Linked DNA regions of Ovis aries. The protein of the gene in region 2 binds, or shares a complex with, the protein of the main gene of each other region. Links are inferred from orthologs where the notes say so. Each region holds a gene or a part of one and is shown on either strand. Other genes may lie near its edges.

Region 1 (3,748 bases), on a different chromosome or scaffold from region 2:
CTGCTGATTCAAAGCAGAAAATAAAATGTGTGTGTTGTTTTTCTTTTGGAGTGGAAGGGAGAAGGAAAGAATATTCCTTCCCAAATGGCACATCAGAAACAAACATCATAGATTGTATGGAGGCACTTCAAACACAGGGATGACTCTGTCCAAAGCCACCTCGCGCCCCTAAAACTGCAAGAGCTGAAAGTCTAGTTGTTTCAACCAAATAAAAACTTACCAGCCTTTATACTGAGAAAGCAAAATAAAAACAGCTCCCTTGTAACTTTACGGAGGAAATATGTTTGGGGAGGCAAGCTTTTCTTTTTTGAAGAAATGAATCTTCCTTATCCAAGACTTAAGAATTCTGGCCCACACTCCTGAAGCAAAAAATTGAAAGGTGAGGACAAAAAAAAAAGTGTTGAGACTAGATAACCACCTGACCTGGTGACCATCTGATACTGACTGGAGGGCATCAGCCAGAGAAGCTTTAAGTACCTTTTTAAATAGATTCCCTTTCCACAAAGGCTGACTACACCTCCACAGTAGTACTGAGCAAGGCATGTGTACCAGACTACATACAACCTAATTAACAGCATAAGAGTATATCTCAAGAAAGTACTGACCAAATATGGTTCTTGGTGGGGGGTTTTTTTTTTTCCAAATCATTACAAGAGGTCCTTCTTGCTCTACTGGTCAGAAATACATTTTTACCCAGTTCACCCTGCTTTCCTGTCTCTAAATTCAAACCAAACCAAAGCAGGAATTTTAGGAAATACCAAGAAACCACATCTGATTTCTACCTAGCGGTCAGCAGTAGCTTAGGTTTTTTAATGCGTGTTGTTTAAAAGCTCTTTACAGGAGGTTCAAGGACAGTTTTCTTTTTAAGTACAGTAAAGTTATTAATGTTAATTGTCACTCCACTTTAAAAAAAAGCTAAAATCCCGGTAACTTTTTTCTAGATATCAAACCTGAACAATGAAGTCGAGTTTTCTACTTCGGATTTAGAGAGAGAAAAGATCTCTCTCGAATGAGGGGGCAGATTCCTGGCTCCCATGTGGTCCAAATACTTCTCAGCCCTCAAGAGGAAGGGGAGGAAAAAAAAAAACAAAAACGAAACAGTACGTTGAACACTAAAATACAAATAATCCACTCGGATACTTGTGATTGTTTTCTTAAAGTTCGTACGTTCCCTCGCCCGGCTAACCTGGGGGGAACAAAACTTTTGAGAGATACCGTAACCGTTCCGTTGAGATTTTTAATCCCAAACATTTGCCACCATTTACCCGTTTATACACATCACAAACTAGCCGAGGAAGGTGGTTTTTATTTTTCAAACGCCTAAACATAATCCCCGAAGGCGAAAAACTTTCTTTGATGCATCCTCGCCCCCACTCCAGAAAAAAATTATTAAGCCGCTGGGAGGCCAACAGGCCACAAAGAAGCCACGGAGAGGGTTAGTGGGAAGGGACTCTCCGTGGTCGGATCCAATCGAGTTTCCAAGTCCAGCCCAGAGTCCCGGGACCCACGCTGTCCGAGTGCAAGCTGTCCGATCGATTCCTCCCTTCCAGAACGGACTTCCAGGCTTCGCACCTTCCCGTCCGTCTGCACCGGGAGGAAGCGCGCGGAGCAACGCGCTGAAAGCGGAGCTGGCGCTTACCCCTTCCTCTCCCCGCCCTGTCTCCTCCACCCGCCGGGCCGGGACGAGCCGGGGCGCGCCCGGGGGCCCCCTCTCCGGGGTAGGGGGGGTGGGGAGGGACAAGGGCCTCCACCGCTGCCCACCCCTAGCCCGCACCCGGGCCCCGAGAACGAGCCGGGCCTCCAAGGGCATTTCTCCACATCACTTCTTCCCAGGGGATGGGCCGGCGCGGGGCCTGCTGCTCGGGAGGGGGACGCGAGGAGGGCGACTGGGCCAGCAGCGCACATTCTCCCCTCCCCGGACCACCGGGACTCCCGGCCCGCGAGGGCCGCCTCCGGGCCGCGGCCCCCCAGGTCCCTTCACGACCCCCACCCCACCCGCGAGACCCGGGCCGCGGGGCCGGGCAGGACGCCCCGGAGGCGGCGAGCGCGGCGCGGGAGGCCGGCGCGACCCCGGAAGGGGCAGCGTTCGGGGGAACTGGGGGTTGGGGGAGCGGCCGTGTTTACACCGCCAAGTTCCCCGCTTCCGCCCCGGCCCGCGCATCCCTCCCGCCCCTCGGCGGCCCGGTTCCTGCCTGTACCTGCATGCCGGGCAGGCCCGACTGCACCGGGGAGTGAGCCATGGCGGTCAGGACGGCCACTTCCTGGGACGGGACGGCCGGGCCGCGGCGATCCGCGCGGGCGACGAGGCCCGCGGGCCGCGCGCAGCCCTCCTCGGGCGGCCGGGGGCGGGAGATGGGGGGCCGGCCGGCCGGAGCCCGAGGCCACCCTAGCCCCCCGTGGGTCCTGGGCCGGGCGGCGGGCTCAGGGGCGGGTGGCGGGCCTCGTCTCCATGCACCGCGCCGGGGACGGGCTGCGAGGAGCGCGGGGCCTCCCTACGAGCGGCCGCCCTGCTGCTGCTGCTGCCGCCGCCGCCGCCGCCGCCGCTGCTGCTGGACTGGAACCGGGCGGCCTGGGCCCGCGCGCTGGCGCCTGGAGCTGGAGTGGGGCGCGCACCGCCGGCCGAGCCCGCGAGCGCCGAGCGCGCCCCGCCCCGGCCCGGCCCCCGCGCCCGCCCCCGCGGCCGGGCCGGGGACCCCGCCCCGCGCTTCCGGGAGGGGGAGGAGGCTCGCGGCCGCCCGGCGCCCTAGGCCGCAGCGGTCCGCGCCGCCGCCGGGCCGGGCCGGGTAGAGGTCCGCGCGGCTCCCGCGGGCTAGACCAGGTGGAGGGGGACGCGCGGGCGGGTGCGGGGCTAGGGGCCTCAGTTAGCGGGGGGCAGGGGTCCCCCCCGGTGGTGAGATGGGAGGGCGCGGGTCTTCGGAGTCAGGGATGGGCCATGCGCCCACCCCGCCCTGCAGGCCCGGGCCGGTCGGACGCCCCGGGGGATCTGGGCTTGCCTTCCAAAGAAGCCCACCCCTCTCGGCCTGGCGACGGGCCCCAGGCCACTTCCCCGAGGGCAGAGCCTGGGGACCCGGCGGGGGCCTCGGCCAGCGGCCGGTTCAAAACTACCGGGGCGGAGCTTCTTCGGTGTCCGGGTGAAGTTTCCAAACCAACCCAAGGAGGAAGCCCTCCGGGAGGGGAGAGGCCGAAAGCGGTTCGTTTCCCGTGCTTTGGCTGCTTGAAAGCACTTGGAATACTAGGAGCTGTGAACTTAGCCAACAAACAGTGAGGGGGCTGAACCCCATCGTCTCTGGGCCCCGGACCAAGGCGTGGGGGCGGGGGACGTCCACCCACCAGAAGGGAGAAGCGGGCAGGGAGGGCCGAGGAGGAAGGGAAGACAATGGAAGGAAACGATGTCTAGACTTTCCCCTGCCTCTCTCCCGCTCTTTCGGCTGCCTCCACCTTCTGGTCACCTCTCCTCCGACTCCAGAGGAAAGAAGCAAGAAGGAGTGAGTCACTGCTGCCTCCAGAAAGTAGTAGTTTGTTTACAACGACCAACAGCGGCAGTCCCCTGAAGGGACCGGCTGCAGCTGGGGTTGCTAGGACCCCGACGTCTACATTCGTGCCCGTGAATGACGTTGCACCAAGGCTGGGTGAGGCTGGACCTCCAAAAATTAGCCCATAGAGTTCGCAGACCGCTGGAAGAAGTTGAAAAGCCCTCCACCGAATGAGGGGTGTTTCTTAGAGGTGTCAACTGGATTCAGAGTTCCCT
Region 2 (3,648 bases):
TAAAAAAAGCATAGACAGAGTTTGAAAACCGGAAGGCATTCTGAAGATCACATGGATTAACCATTTAGGGAAAAGAAACTGACGCTAAAGGTAGAACTGCCCTTTTCCTAGACCATTTAGAAATCTGAGCAATTTAAGGCTTTACTTCAATAAGCTAATACACTGTATAAGAGACTGGAAGCTCATAACATGCGAATACTTGTATTAACTTTCTATCAGGGATGAGAATATCTAGCATTTTCAAACAAATATGATGGAAAGTGAAAGGACTTAGCAATAACCTATTATGTTTAAAAAATACTATAATTATAGTTGTACCAAAGGGATATAAATAGATAAAGCTCCCACCTTTAAATAATACATCAAGTGCATATTTTATTTGTGGGAAATTACACTCAGTTCTGAAATAAATAAAACACTTGTTTATTACTGCACAGTAATAGGATTTTTTGAGTAGAAGAAATAAGGAGGGAAGTGGGAAAATAAAAAAGTAATTATATTACTGAATATTATAACTGTTAAGTGCTTACATTTCCCCACAATATTGTCTTGTACTGTATGATTTTTCAGCATTTAAGAAGCGGTTTTGTTCTTTATAGCTGAACCAATAACGTTTCCATCTGGAGGAGGCAAGTCATTTATTATGGGTTCTGATGATGTTTTGTTAAGTGTACTGGGCCTTGGAGACCTTGCAGACTTGACGGTAACAAATGATGCAGACTATAGTTATGATGTAAGTGCAGTTTTATTTTTAATTTTTTAATGATTTAATAGAAGGCTCCTTATTTTTTGGAAACACTTATAAAACAGAATTAATGTCAAGGTGCATGGAAAAGATAAAGTGTGACATTGTGTTTATTTGAAGTGATATATAGTTTTTTTCTTACAACTACTTTCTTTGTGGTATTTAAATTTTTCTTGGGTATTGTGGTGTATTAGGAGTTTGGGGTGATTGATTACCTAAAAATACTGATTGATAAATACCTACCCTTAGTAGTCAACTCTCAATTACCTACTCAAATTAAGCCATACTTTGCTGTTAACAAGAGAAAAATAGGTAACCTGAATCACTTACCTGCTTTCAGGATAATTCTTTAAACACATTTTAGTTTTGAACTTTTTTTTAAAGGATAATGTTAAAGTTAGTTTGTCATTTCCTAAATACTTAGTCTTTCATTTGAGGGATGGGGAGAGGATGAAGAGGGAATGGAAAAGACAGTGTTAGAGGTGAAACTAGTCTTGGATTAAATTTTTTATAGACAATAAGCACTCAATTGAGAGTTAACTATACTTACTTAGATTTTGTATTAGTGAATTTGCAGATTTTCAGCAAATTAATTTTTCCTTTTATAAACATATTTTTTTCTATGTTTTATACTTATATTAGAATGCTTTTTAGAGACATCGGCCTTGGTGGGCTGGATTATTCTCATTAATACTTTTAAAGTATGTAAGCAAATAAATTCTATAATAACCTTTTGACTGCTTTAGAAGTGGTTTCACAGCCTATCTTTACAGATGGAGAAATGAAGGTAAAAAGATTAACTTCTTACCAATATCAACAAAAAGTGTCTTTAGTTCAGACTTTTGAAAAGTACTTTAACTTGCTGCCTTGAAAAATGTCACATGCTGATTTTCTAAATGACAACTGTATTGTTAATATTGTACCCTTGGATTTTTGGTAGTAATTTATTTAATTTTTGTTTTCATGTAAAATGTTGCAACATGGTAGTTTCTTTGTGTGTTTTGTTTTTTCCCTCATTTTAATGTTTAGTAGGACTTTGGGTTTACCTTGATCATTAGGTAAAACAGATTAAAGGACTCATTCGACCTAAGTATTTGAAAGCTAATGAAATGATTCTTCTTAGTTCTTATTAAATGATAAAGATATAAAGTTTTTAAGGCGTGCTAAATTTCCACTGGACATTTTAGCAAAGCACTTTTGAATGTACCTTTTAAACACAGCAAAACAAACAAAAACTCCACATGCCTATCAGTTCATTACTTTTACCACTAAATATAGTGCTCTTTCTTTCTAGTTGCCTGCCAATAAAGATGCCTTTCGAAAGACATGGAATCCCAAGTATACACTACGTAGCCATTTTGATGGAGTTCGGGCATTAGCTTTTCATCCTGTAGAACCTGTGCTGGTTACTGCCTCTGAGGACCATACTCTGAAACTTTGGAACTTGCAAAAAACAGTTCCTGCCAAAAAGCAAGTATTTTAATGTTAGCCTGTTTTTTTCTTCCAAATTTGCTAATTATAAGTAATTATTCTCCTTTATGGTCTGTATCTTTTATGCACTTATTTGATCTTTCCTAATGACTCTTGTATATCAACCAGTGTTTTACCATAATTTATCTTCTCCCCTCCCCTTTTTTCTCCCCTCTTTTAGGAGTGCCTCTTTAGATGTAGAGCCTATCTACACATTTAGGGCCCACATGTAAGTTTTATTGAATTAGTACTTAATTAACAGCCGTAATTATTGTTAACTATTATTTATCACTCCTGTAGCCTTGTAATTTTTTCATGATGTTTGTTTTACATTAAGAAAGACATTAGCTGAATAATACTACATTTGATTAATAATTATACTAATGAGAATATAATTAGTACCGTTCCAATGTACATGTTAACTTAAACAGTTTTAGATACCACATAAATTTAGAGAGAGGTGGGAGGGGTACAAATGTAAGTTTGTAGGCTTTCTCACTAATTTTTCCCTCTTTTCCTGTGATAGTGGTCCTGTTCTGTCACTAGCTATTAGTTCCAATGGAGAGCAGTGTTTTAGTGGTGGTACTGATGCAACTATCCAGTGGTGGAACATGCCTAGTCCTAATGTGGATCCATATGATACATATGGTGAGTAAAAGGCTCAAGATGTGTCTTTTTAAGTGAATGGCGCTGACAGAAATAATCACCTCAAATATTATTTAAATATGTATTAAACTTGTCATTTAGTCTTTCCATTTACTAGTAATTTGCCCTATTAAAGAGAAAAATTAAGAAATAATCATGCCATAAATATTTTAGCCTGCAAGTTGGTATTTCCTATATTGTGTTCAAAAAGTTTTTTAAAACTATATTAATTAAAGCATTAATTTCTATACTAGAAAAGAGAAATTTAACATGAGGAATAATTTTTTTCAACTTAGCTACTTTACGTAGTTCAAAAATAATTAGTGCAAGACTACAGAAGCAAATGGGAATTCTCAGATGATGCAGTGGTAAGGCATCCACCTGCCATTGCAGGAGACTCAGGTTCAGTCCTTGGGTCAGGAAGATCCCTTGGAAGAGGAAATGGCAACCCACTCCAGTATTCTTGCCTGGAAAATTCCACGGACAGAGGAGCCTGGCATGCTATAGTCCATGGGGTTGCAAAGAGTTAGACATGACTTCGTGACTGAGCATGCATGTAGAAACAAATAAGGACATGAGGGTATAAATCAGTGAACTTGAGGGACAAAAAATTTCTTAATTTAAAAAAACTGAAACTTTGATTCATGAATGCCATTTTTAGAATCTGGCCAACAGAAATAACCTGTGCATATATTTAAATATAATTATAAGGACATTGTTTGTAACTATAAAAAAATTAAAATGAATTTATTAGTATGAGAATGGTTAAATAAAAAATGGTCTACTTA

What was found. The genes of interacting proteins can lie anywhere in the genome.
Region 1: STRN3 (region 2) and STK24 share a complex: the UniProt entries of both Homo sapiens proteins name them as parts of the core of STRIPAK complex. The link is inferred for Ovis aries from reciprocal best matches to the Homo sapiens genes STRN3 and STK24.

The regions. Positions count from the first base shown.
Region 1 is NC_056063.1:74,891,131-74,894,878, forward strand, and holds the start of STK24 (serine/threonine-protein kinase 24), read right to left. Parts: upstream 2,603-3,748; 5' UTR 2,241-2,602; coding exon 2,199-2,240; intron 1-2,198. UniProt on the Homo sapiens protein: Serine/threonine-protein kinase that acts on both serine and threonine residues and promotes apoptosis in response to stress stimuli and caspase activation.
Region 2 is NC_056071.1:39,341,916-39,345,563, reverse strand, and holds part of STRN3 (striatin-3), read left to right. Parts: intron 1-599; coding exon 600-733; intron 734-2,039; coding exon 2,040-2,215; intron 2,216-2,396; coding exon 2,397-2,444; intron 2,445-2,741; coding exon 2,742-2,863; intron 2,864-3,648. UniProt on the Homo sapiens protein: Calmodulin-binding scaffolding protein which is the center of the striatin-interacting phosphatase and kinase (STRIPAK) complexes.